Linked DNA regions of Arabidopsis thaliana. The protein of the gene in region 1 interacts with the protein of each later gene in a pairwise test. Each region holds a gene or a part of one and is shown in the gene's direction. Other genes may lie near its edges.

Evidence for each region. Proteins that work in one complex are often made in the same cells at the same time.
Region 2: the proteins of AT1G76185 (region 1) and AT1G74370 interact in a protein complementation assay, tested with the Arabidopsis thaliana proteins (one large-scale study listed by BioGRID).

What each region holds. Positions count from the first base shown.
Region 1 is NC_003070.9:28,585,800-28,593,818, forward strand, and holds AT1G76185 (NADH-ubiquinone oxidoreductase chain), read left to right. Parts: upstream 1-4,525; 5' UTR 4,526-4,697; coding exon 4,698-4,810; intron 4,811-5,150; coding exon 5,151-5,358; 3' UTR 5,359-5,732; downstream 5,733-8,019. Other genes in the region: AT1G76170 (2-thiocytidine tRNA biosynthesis protein, TtcA), read right to left, coding at 53-159, 389-426; ERD14 (Dehydrin family protein), read right to left, coding at 1,214-1,522, 1,610-1,858; AT1G76190 (SAUR-like auxin-responsive protein family), read left to right, coding at 6,426-6,797; AT1G76200 (NADH dehydrogenase ubiquinone 1 beta subcomplex subunit), read left to right, coding at 7,552-7,658, 7,975-8,019.
Region 2 is NC_003070.9:27,955,422-27,961,137, reverse strand, and holds AT1G74370 (RING/U-box superfamily protein), read left to right. Parts: upstream 1-1,737; 5' UTR 1,738-1,951; intron 1,952-2,107; 5' UTR 2,108-2,152; coding exon 2,153-2,938; 3' UTR 2,939-3,052; downstream 3,053-5,716. Other genes in the region: AT1G74385 (uncharacterized protein), read left to right, coding at 168-413; XXT5 (xyloglucan xylosyltransferase 5), read right to left, coding at 1-1,290; AT1G74360 (Leucine-rich repeat protein kinase family protein), read right to left, coding at 3,227-5,716.

The sequences.
Region 1 (8,019 bases):
GTAAAAATTTGAACTTTGAAGCGAAACCATCATTGGAGTGTAAAGAAATTACCTTTTCCACCGGAGGCACCTATAGCAACTCGTTCACCGAACTTAAACAAACGATTCCCAACAATGACTTGGTGAATCTCTTCCTCAAAAACCTCATAGAAACACTCTCTGCATATCTTTATACAAATACTCACATCATTATTGCTTATACGTAACAAACTAACTAGCAGGAGATTGAGAAACTATGATCTTTAACAGTTCCGAAAATGCCACAAGAGTAACGCAACCAAAGACCCAGCTCGATGATTTTGATCCTAATTCAAAATTTACCTGTTGAAGGGTTTTCGGTCGTTTTAGGACAGGTCGTCACTGGTTACAGATGCAGCAGAGACGAGACCCTCCTGCTTTCTTGCTCTTCTCTTCCCCTGCCTCCATCTCCACCGGTGAATGAAACTCCAAGTTTACTAGTCGGCGGTAAATTGTCCTAACCGGAAAAACGACCTAACTCGGAGTTATATCCACAGAACACCGTCGTATTTGATTTCGGTATCTGAATTGTTTTAGTTATTAATGGGCCCATTGGGCTTTCTTACCCAACATTAAAATCCCACATACAAGATTATAGATAATTAGATATACCCACAATGATGAGCGTTAAAGACATTATTAACTAAGGATGTGGTCCATTAATGGAAATGTTTTGTGATTAGCTGGATCTCATGTGAATATGTGATCTTATCATAACTAGCATATTAGGGAAACGTTACGTCAACTGGTCTACAAAAATATCTAAGTTGGTCCATTTTCTTACACGTTTTGAGTAGTTGTGTCGACCGCAATGCCAAATCAATCACTAAAAAGAAGAGTATACACGATCATGTTTCTTCTATACCAACGCATTTAATTTCCTACATACGAACTTGAATGCTAATCAAACTGGGGTCATGTTTACGGCTTTGAGCAATAGTTGAAGATTATCAATACATAAAATTATATCATCCATATCACTTAATCAAATGAAAATATTCATACCATTAAAATACCTTGAGATCTTTTGTTTTTAAAAACCATATACAAGAGAAAATAAGAAATTGTAATCAACAAAAAAGCCAACAAACTTACACATCACAAAAGCAAAAGATGATCAATCATCACAATAAAAAAAAAAAAAAACAAAGCAAATCAACCATCATTATTCTTAATATCTTTAATGATAATCTTCTTATTCTTTATCTTTCTTCTCCTCCTCTACGGTGGTCTTAGGGTGGTATCCTGGAAGCTTCTCCTTAATCTTCTCAAGAATCCCTTTCTTCTCCACTGGATGCGCTTCTTCCACAGGAGGAGGAACAACCACCGGTGCCGCAGCGACGGCTGAACCGTCTTCAGGTTTCTTGTGTCCAGGAAGCTTCTCTTTCAACTTCTCCATAAACCCTTTCTTCTCTTCCTCCTTTACCTCAACTTCAGTAGTTGGCTTCTTCTTCTCCTTCTTCTTCTTCCTCTTCTCACCATCTGAACCTTCTTCCTCACTTGACTGTATAAATTCAGACCCATATAGTTAGATAAGAAAAGCATTCGATCATGTTATAGTTTATCATCAACAGATCAGATCTAAACTTACGGAGCTAGAAGAACTGTCGCTTCGGTGAAGCTTTTCAAGAAGACTTTCGTGTTTAACCTCTGGCTCCGGCTCTGAAATATGAACCTTCTGCTCAAACTCTGAAGCGATCGGAGTCTCCTCTGGTTTTGTTTCGTCTTTCTTCTTTCCCAAGAAATCGAACAATCCACGATCTGTAACCTCTGCCGATGATTCCTCTGTTGCTACCTTTGGCACCTCCTGTTCAGGAACATTCTTGATTTCCTCAGCCATAGTTATCGGAAAAAGATTCGATGAATGAAACACGGATTCAAAAGTATTTTTTTTATGTGAAGGTTTGAAATTCAAAAGCAGATGAAAATAAGAGGTGATGGAGATTAGAGAAGAAAGTGTGTTATATAGTGTTGAGGACTCGGGAGGGGTCCAAGCCACCGCGGATTTCACGCTCTTTGTACACTTTTTTTTTGCAATTTAAAAACATATATCTAATTATATGAAATTACAAAATGACCCGCTTTTTATGGCATCTTCTCCTTCGTCCCCACGTTAATTATCATTTTTCTGTTAATTAGATAAAGTTATATTGGATTAAGAAGAATTCATTAATTAATTGTTAATAGTTTGCTTACGTGATCTGATATCAATTTAGTGGAATAAAAAATAATGGATAAGAATGGCAACTAGATAGTTTTTTTTCAAAAGTAGTGAAAACAAACTAAATGGTTTGTTCAAGGCGTGTACTGTTTTTAATTTAAATATTAGACTTTCATAAGTTTTTTTGTTTGTTTTAATACTTGTTATGTGGACTTTGTAGTTCAATGATCGGTTTATCAAGTTAAAGAAAACTGATTCAAACTTTAAATAGAGTAAGAATAATATGGAATAAGCAAAAATGTTTTTTCATTTCCTCTGAAAGCAAAAATAATTTATTTTTGACAACGCAAAAGAGATTTTAAAGAATGGGATGTCCCTATAAATTATTGTTCTTAAAGTTTCGGGCTTTCTTATATATATATATATATTCACAAATATAGGAACCATCTTGCAAATTCCAAAAATGGATTACAGATTTTGAAAGGATTAACAATTTAATGCACCATAGATTGGAAGACACGTGTCAAGCATTAGCGCAAATCGGACGACGGAGCTCATAGTCAGAAATGGAACGTCGGATGTAGACAAAGAAAAGAGTCAGAGAGAAATTTAGATTAATCAATTACATCTTAAAACGTGTCAATATAACATGGGAAGTTGTCCTTTTGTAGGACCCAATAGTATGTACTGATTGGCGTAAAAGACGTGATGTCGGTTACGTGGGTCCACTTGACTTATTGACTAGTGCCACGCTGGAACAAGCTTGTTCGAGAAGAAATGATGATTTTTTAGAAATTTATAACGTTCCTTATTTTTTCTTTCTTCTATTCTATGCGTTACAAAATACAAACAAACCAATAAGAACTTGGTTATTTAATTCTTATCACGCTATGAATCCTCAACGATTAGGTGTTATTTTAACTTATTATTCACTAAACATGTTGAAGAGGCCAATCTAGTAACGCATGATCTTTGAAATTGTAAATACATGATCTTGGATACTCTAAACAAAAAAAAAAACAAATCCAACAAGTAATATAAGTCCGATTGGCTCAATCGATTAGGAAGGTGTTGTTGCAATGCTACCGGATCTCATTTTTAGTCCTAATGCTACAATAAGACGGGTAATTTGCGCTTGTGAATCCGCCAAAAGTATTATCAAAGAAATGATCGTGGACATAAACAAACTAAAACTAAAGATTTAGATTTTAGAACGAATAGAAAGTTAGCATCATCTTTTGTTTACCATTTTTGGGGCACATAAAACAATCTTTCGTAATCTCGTTTATGGGAAAAGGGTTTGTGTATGTATTTTTTCAACGTAAATGGTTATGTTTTCATGCAGTTTTTAAAGATAAACTTAGATGTAGATAATGAAATCATGAGTAGACAAATGAGCATAAGATGACTTGGATTTCTTATGAATTAATATGTTAATGTGTGGGATGTCATTTTCGACCTATTGAAAAAGATATACTAAAAATATTAATGAAGGACAGATGGTAATCGGTAAATGCATCATCTCTTAAAATTCGCCTAAAATAAAAAAAATGAACCGACGTGCCACATCAGTAATCTCTGGTCTCTAAATTTAACAAAGACGTAGCACGAACCGTGACGTATCAACACACATATCAAACAAACCTATCTTTTTCAATACTAACTTATTCGTCTTTTTGGTTCTTGTTGTCATATACACCGAAGCTCAGCTCTTAACTTATTCTTTGGATAATGTTTTCGGTGATAGCGAACCGACAAATTGTAGCCGACACTTAGAATTCACAACTAAACTATAGATTTTAAAATAATATTAATTAATTCGAAAGTTTGAGATATCTGAACAAAGTTTTCTGAAAAACGTAGAATACATATGGATCAAATACTATAATTCGAAAGTTTCAGATTAGTGCTAAGTAATGAACGTCATGCGTTTGTTCTTCTGTCGATTTCTTCTTTTTCACCGCCCGTCTGAGTTTTATGGGCGTGATATTTTCCTTATTGTGGTCAAATCAGGAATATTCAACAATATTTAGCACTCGCTTTACTTGGTGGGACATGAGAATCAATCGATGCATCGCTGTTTTATTTCTTTTTCTTTGATGTTTCTATTTCTGTTAGAACAAAGTTTTCATGATTCTTAAAAGCCCAAATTTCATGGCATCGGAACAAAGTTTTCATATATGATGACAACTCAAAACAAAAGAGTAACGGTAAAAGCCCAATACCCATAAAATGGGCTTAAGAATCCAGATCGGATCTATAACCCGACCCGGTTGTTGACACCGAGAGAGTCCACGCAACGTTCGCCGAATTCCTAACGAATCGGACACCGTTTCGTCGCTGTAAAATTTTGATGCGAAATTTTCCAATTCACAGATTTTGTTTTTCCATTGTTTTGGATTTCTAGATTCTAGTTATATGTTGGTGATAGATTTTTCCTACATCTCGTGATTCTCAAACGCTTCTTGAGCTCTTCGTCGAATCGGGACTGTGATCGGGACTTGGTGGAGAAGAAGCGATGATAACAAGATCGAATCTAGCAGAACAGCTCAGGGAATATCAGATTAGATCAAAGCATGATTGGGCCTCCGTTTCTTTCTTCTCTTCCACCTCCAATTTCTCTTCCTCCAGGTTAGAGATCTCCGGCTTATCCTTTCCTTTTTAATCTGCTGTGATTTGGAGCTGCGTGCTTAGAGTTGTATTTGAAAAATTGTACTTTGTGATATTTAATTCAATTGGAACCGTAAATTTCTCATCTTTTAAGGGATTGTCGTTGAACATTGGATATCTATGTGAATCCTACACAAGGAACTATAATTTTGACTTGTCCACGTTGAACCATCTTTGACAATTTGACATACACTTTTCATTCTTATCGACTCTGTTGCAATCTGGATTCTATTGTTAAATTTTGACAATGAACATTCTATAGTGGTACTTATGCTATTCGTTTCGTTTGCTTTTGATTCAGGGTTGATGTTGTAGTCTTTGTCATATGGGAACTAGTGATGTTAGCACTCGTGGTGTTTTCAGCTGTATCCTTGTACTTCAGGCGGTTGCAACTTGCTTTTATCCTGCTTTGTGTCACCTTACTATTACTCCTCTGTATGAAAATCACAAAGCAAGTGAGACATGCTAGGAAGAAGAAGCGAAGGATGCTTCTTCCTCTCTCTATGTAAAGACCGAAACCATTGAGCTGTTGCGAACCGTTTATCTTCTCACACAACCAAACCACAACTCTTCTCTGGCATGAGTTTTGTGCCCATATGCATTGATGAAGATGACAGCTAAGCTCAGACTGACTCTGGGACGCATCGCTTTTGTCCTTTGAAGAATCGACCTGAACTTGAGATATGAAACCAGGGACTGCAATTTCAAGGCTTAGCTTAGACAAATCAGAACAAAAGTGCTGTAAAGGTTGTTTTCCTGTATAAAGTAGTATGGGAGGTTGCTTTATTTTTCCTAGGCACGATCACGGATTGTTAACTTGAGCGTTTTGTGATTAAAGATAGTTTTTCCATCTATCTATGTTACACTTAATATCATGATGAAGTGATTTAGATTTGTTGGCTGTAAAAAGTTTTTAAAAAATGATTTGCAGGATTTTCATGTGACGAGAAAAAGAAAAACAACGAACACTCATGAAAGTAGAAGAGAGAACTATAAAATGAAAAGTAGCAAGCAACTTGCTCGAAACGCTCACATGTTTCTATCATTACCTTTGCGCTCTGCAACTACTTTAGTATCTTGTTAAAGAAAAAGTGGTAATAGTTAGTATTATTTGTAATGTTATGGTCTGTCAATACACTAGCTTAGCTTGATTTGATTAACTTAATTTCCAAATAATGAGATACTGTCTACATGGTGATATAGCTTTGTCAAAGTTCATTAATGACAATGACAAAAACAAGTGTGTTAGTAACCAAGATAATTGCATTTAGTCGTAATTCATGTTTTGAAACGGAAATAATTAGAAAGATCGAAAATCTCTAGATATTTGTAGAAGGTCAGTACATAACTCCACGAGTGGTCGTGATCCAATTTGTGGACAAATTTGAAAAGCAACTAAAAACAATCAAATAAGCACGAACATCCTTTTCCCTCCACACACATCAAAATCCACAGTTTGGTCCATATATTGCTATATATATAGAGAAGCAGTTAGGCATTTAATTAAGGTTGCATACAGACAGATACATACGCAACGAAACTATCAAAGCCGAAGTAACACACACACAAAAATCATATGAAGAAACTAAATTCTAAAGGGATTAGACTCTCCGAATTGATGGAGAAATGGAGAAGAAGGAAGAAAGGGCACTTCGCTGTGTACACGAACGAAGGGAAGAGATTCGTTTTACCATTGGATTATCTGAATCATCCGATGTTACAGGTGCTATTGCAAATGGCTGAGGATGAGTTTGGGACTACCATTGATGGTCCTTTAAAAGTTCCTTGCGATGGAAGTTTAATGGATCACATCATCATGCTTGTGAGAAGGAGCATGTCCCATGATTATGATGATGTGGAGAAGTCTTCCACGAGCAGCACCTGCAAGGGAGCTTCAATCTCTTCTCTCTTTCGTGGACAGAGCCAGCTTCAGTCATTAGTTTCCTAACCATTTGGAGTAATTGTTAACTTTTTTTGGAGAAGGGTTGTTCTATTTTGTGTATACCAACATGATCTTGTAATAAATTAATTATTGTAATGTATCAATGATACAGTATCATCATTTGATTTTGAGTCTTTTTTTGACGGTTAAAACAACGATTTGGGACGAAGTTATAGGCCCTGAATGGATGCTGATTTTGGATTCAGTTTTTGAATTTAGATTTTAGTTTATAGATTTTAGATTTTAGTTTCAGATTTTTATTATTATATTTTTGTTTCAAAAACCCCAAAAAATTGGTTTTTGGTTTTTGAGAAAAATAACGTTGATTGAGTAAAAACTAGATTTCCTAAATTTTAGGAGAACTAAAAAACTAAAATCATGAATGGAAAACTACAAGAAAATAATTTTTCTAAATTGTAGGGAAACCAAAATTTTAAAATCTTGATTGGTATGAAAATAAGTTTTTGGAAAACAAAAACCAAAAACTCTTACAAAATCTACAAAACATTCAATTCATGTATCCAAACTTCTTAAAGGGCCCAAAAAGGAAGAAAACATTGTGAAAGAAACAGATATAGAAATGGGCCTTTGGTCTTTAAATTGGGCCTAAGCCTTTTAATTGAGGCCTTACTAAAAGTGACGACTCACATGGTTGAATCAAATCTCAGGTAGTAAATTGTCAAAGCTGAGGAGAAAGAAAGCTTTTTCGGTCTGAAATTGAAGTGCGAATCGGGGAATCTAGGGTTTCGAGAGAGAGATAATGGGTGGAGGAGGACATGGCGGAGGTATAACTTACAAGGGAGTCACTGTCCACACTCCCAAGACTTGGCACACCGTCACCGGAAAAGGCTTGTGCGCCGTTATGTGGTACATTTCTGATTTCTCTCTTTCACCTAATTCGCTTTTGATTTTGGGACCTAGCTAATCTCGATCGTAGCTAGATCTCGCCATGGGGATTTTGGGCTAATTGATCATCTGAGGAATTTTGTATATAGAATCCATTTGAATCAAAAAATTGGATTTGTCAAATTAGTATCGGAGCTAATCAGGTAGATGTTAATTTGAATCAGATATTGCTTATGTCAATTTCAGTTCGATGAGAATGGTTGAAGAAGTAATCGCACATAGGTTTTAACTTTCCCTAGCATTCACATCTTAAAAACTCAATTTTTGGTATTTTCAGGTTCTGGATTCTGTACAGGGCAAAGCAAGATGGTCCTGTAGTTAT
Region 2 (5,716 bases), 630 kb from region 1:
GATCCTCTTAATCTTGGGGCTCAACAATCCCCTATGGCTAAAACCATACAGCTTGAGCACTTGATTGTCTGCAAAATTAAAGGCCCTCTCCATACTCTTCAAGCACCTCTCGACTGCATAATCAGCATAGCTACCACACGGTTTACACCCAACGAAATGGGTCACAAATGGCCATCTCTCATCACCCAATCCCGGGTGATACTTCTCTATCATCTCCTCATACCTATCAACCAAACCTTCCCAAAACCCGTGCAAATAGTATTGATTCTCCACAAACACTTTCTCCATCCATGTATCTTTCTGAGAAAGCAGGAGATAGATCAATGCTGACTGATCATCTGCCTCAAAAGCTGGTCTACCTTTCAGATAAGCCGTCAATACCTTCCCGGCCTCATCACGAATTGGCCCTTTAGGTCCCATAGGCGCCCAAGCATCTAACAAATCCAACGACCACTGACAATTCCTCAGCAGAAAACTACCTGTGTTCAAAGCAATCCACGACTTCTGATCGAACAACAAGTCCGGATAACCATGAATCACTAGATTATGCTTCTGATACCTAGCCAAAGGGATCTGAAACAGTATATCAGTGAACAAAGCATCACTATCCATCCACCAGATCCACTCAACTTCTGGATGAGACAACATCAACCTCCTAATCATTGGTAATTTTGCCCAATAGCCAGCGAGTTCCTTATCCAAATGAGCCATGTTATACACAATCTCAATTCCATGAAGCCTACAATAATCAATCTTGTTCTTCACAGATTTCAAAAGATAATGATCACCAATGGGGTTATCACAAGGCTTAGGAGGAGATCCTGTTAAAAGCAAGATTCGAGCTTTGCCATTGACAGTACTAGGAAACTCAGGATTCTGATTCAACCATACCTTACGTTGACTATCCCAATCCGTGATCTTAGGACCTAGAACATACGTCGCATTGGGATTCATATCACCTTCCTGAGGCTCATCCAAGTCGGTTGGATCCGAATCAGATCGGATCTCAGCTAGAATCCGGTTAGTCTCCTCAATGATGTTCTGGTTAACTGCATCGGCGCTTGAGCTTCCTAGGTTACCAACACCGATAGTGCCACGTAAGACGAGAATTGTGACGAAACCACAGAGAATTGTGATCTTGATGTTGTTAAACGTCTTCTGCATCTGTCTACCTCGAGGTAACAAACCACCACGACCACCTCTTCCTCCACCGTTGGTTAACGTCGTCGTCGGAAGTCCTCCGCCGCTTCCGGATGGTCTTTTATGCGCCGGCGAACCATCTTGACCCATTTTCTTCTTCAACGTCTCTCTCTATAGATTTCACTTACAGGTTTGCGACCATCAACTTTGTTTTCCTCAGATCAGTCTGAGTATGTTTCTGTCTCTCCGTACTTACTTATTCACGGATCTGAGAAAAAGTTCAGATCTTTAGCATGATTCCGATCGGGGAAAGAGAAAGAGAAAGATTTGTCGATCTGAAGAACCCTAATTTAAAAATGGAATTAAACCCAATAATGCGGAAACATTGTCATTACTTAAAAATATATTGTCGGAGGAAAATGCTTCGTTCGATCCAGAAAGCGCACAAGGAGAAGAAGAAACGCGTACAGCTCACTCTCACCGACAACTACTATTTTACTTTAACCGATTTCGGTAATAGAAAATTACGGAACTAAACCGGTAGTTTAATTTTGGCGGTATAGTGAAACGATGCGTTTTGGTAGTTAAACCTGAAAACAGAAACGGATAAGGTGAGGAAATCGGTGGGGGCGGCGGAAACATTGAAAGGCGTTTCAGAGTCACCATGTTTTACGACGCGTGTCTCTTTTTCAGCCGGTTTTCTTCTCGCTGGTTACATCAGAGCTTCGGAGATATTATATAACTCAACGACGTAGCTGTTGCATTTTTTGTTTTTGCAATGATCTTCATCTTCATGACCGGATAAACTCTTGTAAGTGTATTTCGTTTTCTGTAATTCTGTTAATGATTTCTTGGGTTTCATCAAGTTCGTTACTTTTTGTATGTTCTCGGTCCAATCTTTGGGGGTTGGATTGTAAATCTCATATCTGATTATGTAGTGTATGTGTGTGTGATTTTCTTGTTGCAGAGAGAAAGATTCAAAGTGATTATCTTTGTGGATCCCTCCATTGCTATGTGGAATTTAGCTTCAAAATCGATCAGAGAAGGTTTTATATCGAAGGGAGAAGAAGCTGCTACAAAACCAAGAAGAGCTACTTTAGATAGATCAGGAGATGGAAGAAAGACAACAAAGGAAGAAAAATTGGAGTGTCCCATTTGCTGGGAATCATTCAACGTTGTTGAGAATGTACCTTATGTCTTATGGTGTGGTCATACAATCTGCAAGTACTGTCTCTTAGGGCTTCAACGTGCCATTGTCATCAAATCCTCTGCTTTACCATTCCAGCTTCCCTTCTTCGTTGCTTGCCCTTGGTGCAATATTCTCTCTTTAAGGCTGGTTTGCAATGGAACCATCAGATTTCCTTCCAAGAACTTTTACCTTCTGTGGATGGTAGAAAGCATGAATGGCTCCAGATCGGAGGCACCCAGCGACAACAAAAGGGTTGCTTCAGGGCAGAGAGACTTGAGAAATAGGTGTGATGGAGTGAGTAATACCGCCTTGGGTGATGAAGGGTTGCTGGACAATCGCAGCTGGTGGAATGGTGTGACCAGAGGATTCTTCAGAACTGGGAGGCTCCATGACTCGGTACGTAAGTCAATGGCTCTTGTTGCTCATTTGTTGGCTAAGTTTCCTCTGGTAGTCATATTCCTGTTGATGGCTTTATATGCAATCCCTGTGAGTGCTGCAGTTCTCGGGGTTTATTTCTTTGTTACGTTTGCTTTGGCTGTCCCGTCGTTTCTCGTCCTTTATTTTGCCTTCCCGAGCTTAAACTGGCTGATCAGAGAGATTGCAACCTGACTCATTGTACTGTTTCTTTCTTCCTGTATGTTTCCTGACTTGTAAGAAACACGAGATAGAGCCAACGTTGTTTACACTCAATATAGACAAGAAGAAGAGAAGATCTTTATTTTCAGATTGTGTCTCTGTACATTGCGAACAAAACTACCTTTCTCTATCCCTATCTGTCTGATAACAATGAGGTTCTGTGTACAAGAAGAATCAGAAACAATGAAACGAAAAATGGTGAAGAAGAAAACTCTGTTGTTCTGTATAATAAATCTGAAAGAAGAAAAGAAAGAAAGATTTTTACATTTCTATGTAACCTTGTGAAGATAAGCCATTGAAGAGCTCTGCTTTACCGGATATCTTAACCAACATAGCTAGAACTTCTTTCATGTTTGGTCTTGCCTGAGGATGATCAGCTGTACACTTCACACCAATCTTTAGTAGCTCAGTCATTTGCTCAGCTCCGTTCCCTGGTTTGGTCCCTGACAGGGTTATTGGTGAACCTTTGGCTGTCATGTTACCTGTCATTACACGTCTTGCCCATTCGACCAAACACTCTTCTCCTCCATCAACAGCTCTTCTACCCGTCGCGAGTTCCATGGTCAATACTCCGTAGCTGTAAACATCTCCTCTTGTGGTGGCTTGCCAAGTTTGTCCATACTCGGGAGCTACATACCCGATTGTGCCTGCAATCACTGTGCTCACATGGCTATCTCCTACATTTAAGAGTCTTGCTAGTCCAAAATCCGTCACTCTCGCATTCCCGTGTTTATCCAAAAGAACGTTACTGGCTTTGACGTCTCTGTGAACGATGGAAGGGTAGCATTCGTGGTGTAAAAACACTAATCCCCTTGCTACATCTGTGGCTATATCAATACGTTTCTTCCATTGAAGTTTTGTTTTGTCTGTGATGAGCTCCTCTAAGCTCCCGCCTCCCATGTATTCGTGCACCAAGATTTTCTCTGACCCATCTAGGCACCATCCATATAGCCTCACGAGGTTCGGATGTGCCCAATCTCCAAATGCGTTGGCACTTAGAACTTCCATTTCAGCTCTGAACTCTTTCTCTGCTTCTGTGCCTTCCCTCTGAAGCTTCTTGACTGCAACTTCTCTTCCATCAGGCAATACGCCTCTGTAAACAGTTCCATAGCCTCCCCTACCTACCACTCTCTCCTCAGAGAAGTTACTGGTTGCTTTCAGAATGTCAGCGTATGTGAAAGTTGATTTGTCTAAGCGAATGACCTTGATTTTTCCTGATAGCCATGGCGATGATCCACCTGAACTGGAAGTCATGTCATGTCTGGTTTTCGACCCATCTAAGAGATCGATTTCTGCTTCCCTTGAAGCCTTAACAACCATAAGTACAATACCTGATACCACTAAACATGCAATAAACGCCAATGCAAGAGCCAAGGAAATCCAAATCAAAAGAAGAGTTCTTGGCCTGTTTCCTAGGACTTGGTTGGAAATCTTCCTCGTGTTGTTCCCTGATTGGTTGAAGAAACTAGGAAACCGCAGCAGCGGATTTCCAAGAAAGGAGTCTTTGTCAAAGGTTGCTACTTGTCCTGTTGTTGGTATCGCGCCAGAAATGAAAGGGTTATATGAGATGTTGAACTTACTCAGCTCATTCAAGTCATTCAAACTCGTTGGAAAGTTTCCAGAGAAATTGTTGAAAGACAGATCAAGATTCTGCAGGCACTTCAGATTTCCGATTTCTTGAGGAATCTCGCCCGAGAAATTGTTTCGAGTAAGGTTGAGGAATGCAAGAGGCAATTGTCCTATCTCTGGAGGCAGTTTCCCCTCAAACTCATTGAAACCCAAATGTAGTGTGCTCAGCCTGTCCATCTGAGAGATGCTTGCAGGAATCTCACCTGAAAACTTATTTCCACTGAGCTGAAGATAGGCTGAAATTTTAAGCGTGCGTACCGTGGAACCAGCAGAACAGACAGGAAAGAGACCGTACCCTTTGAGAACATGGTCCCATAGGCTTCTGCAACTCTTTTTGGTTAGAATTGCGTATACAAAGTTGAACGGAGGGAACTCCGCTGGAATCCATCTCTTCATCGCCAAGCATTCACCAGAACCAGCAATTATCTTGTCTTTGTTTTGCCTATTCACTTCAAATGTTGGAGAAGGATTACTCCCCATTCTAGTCAATTCAGGATGGAATCTACCAGAGAGCTGGTTGTTTGCCACGTTAAACCACAAAAGGCTTGTGCAGTTGCCAATCTCTCGAGGGATTTCTCCTGATAGAGAGTTGTTTGCAAGCATTAGCCACAAAAGAGAGGTCAATTTCCCAAATGAAGCTGGTATCGAACCGGTCAGCTTGTTAAAGGAGAGATCAAGTGCTTGAAGCCCCGGCATGTTCCCATACTCCTGTGGTATATCGCCACTGAAGTTATTATAAGCAAGAATCAAGAACTTCAAACTCTGTATCTGAGAAATTTCAGTAGGTAACTGTCCCGAGAAATTGTTGTAGCCCAAATCTAGCCTTGAAAGATTGGGTAACTTGAGGATGTTGGAAGAATTGATGCCTCCTACGTATGAGTTTGCATGCAAGACTAGATACTTTACTTGCGTGAATCTCCCAAAGATTTCTTGAATGTCTCCTCCAAATTTGTTTCTGCTCAAATCCAGAAACACCAAGTTGGTCAAGTTCAGGAGAGTTTCCGGTATGTCTCGAGAAAATGTATTATTCCCCAAGTACAAACCTTTGAGAGAGGATATGGAACCAATCTCAGCTGGAATGTTCCCTGTGAACTTGTTTCCCCAAAGATTCAGTACATTTAG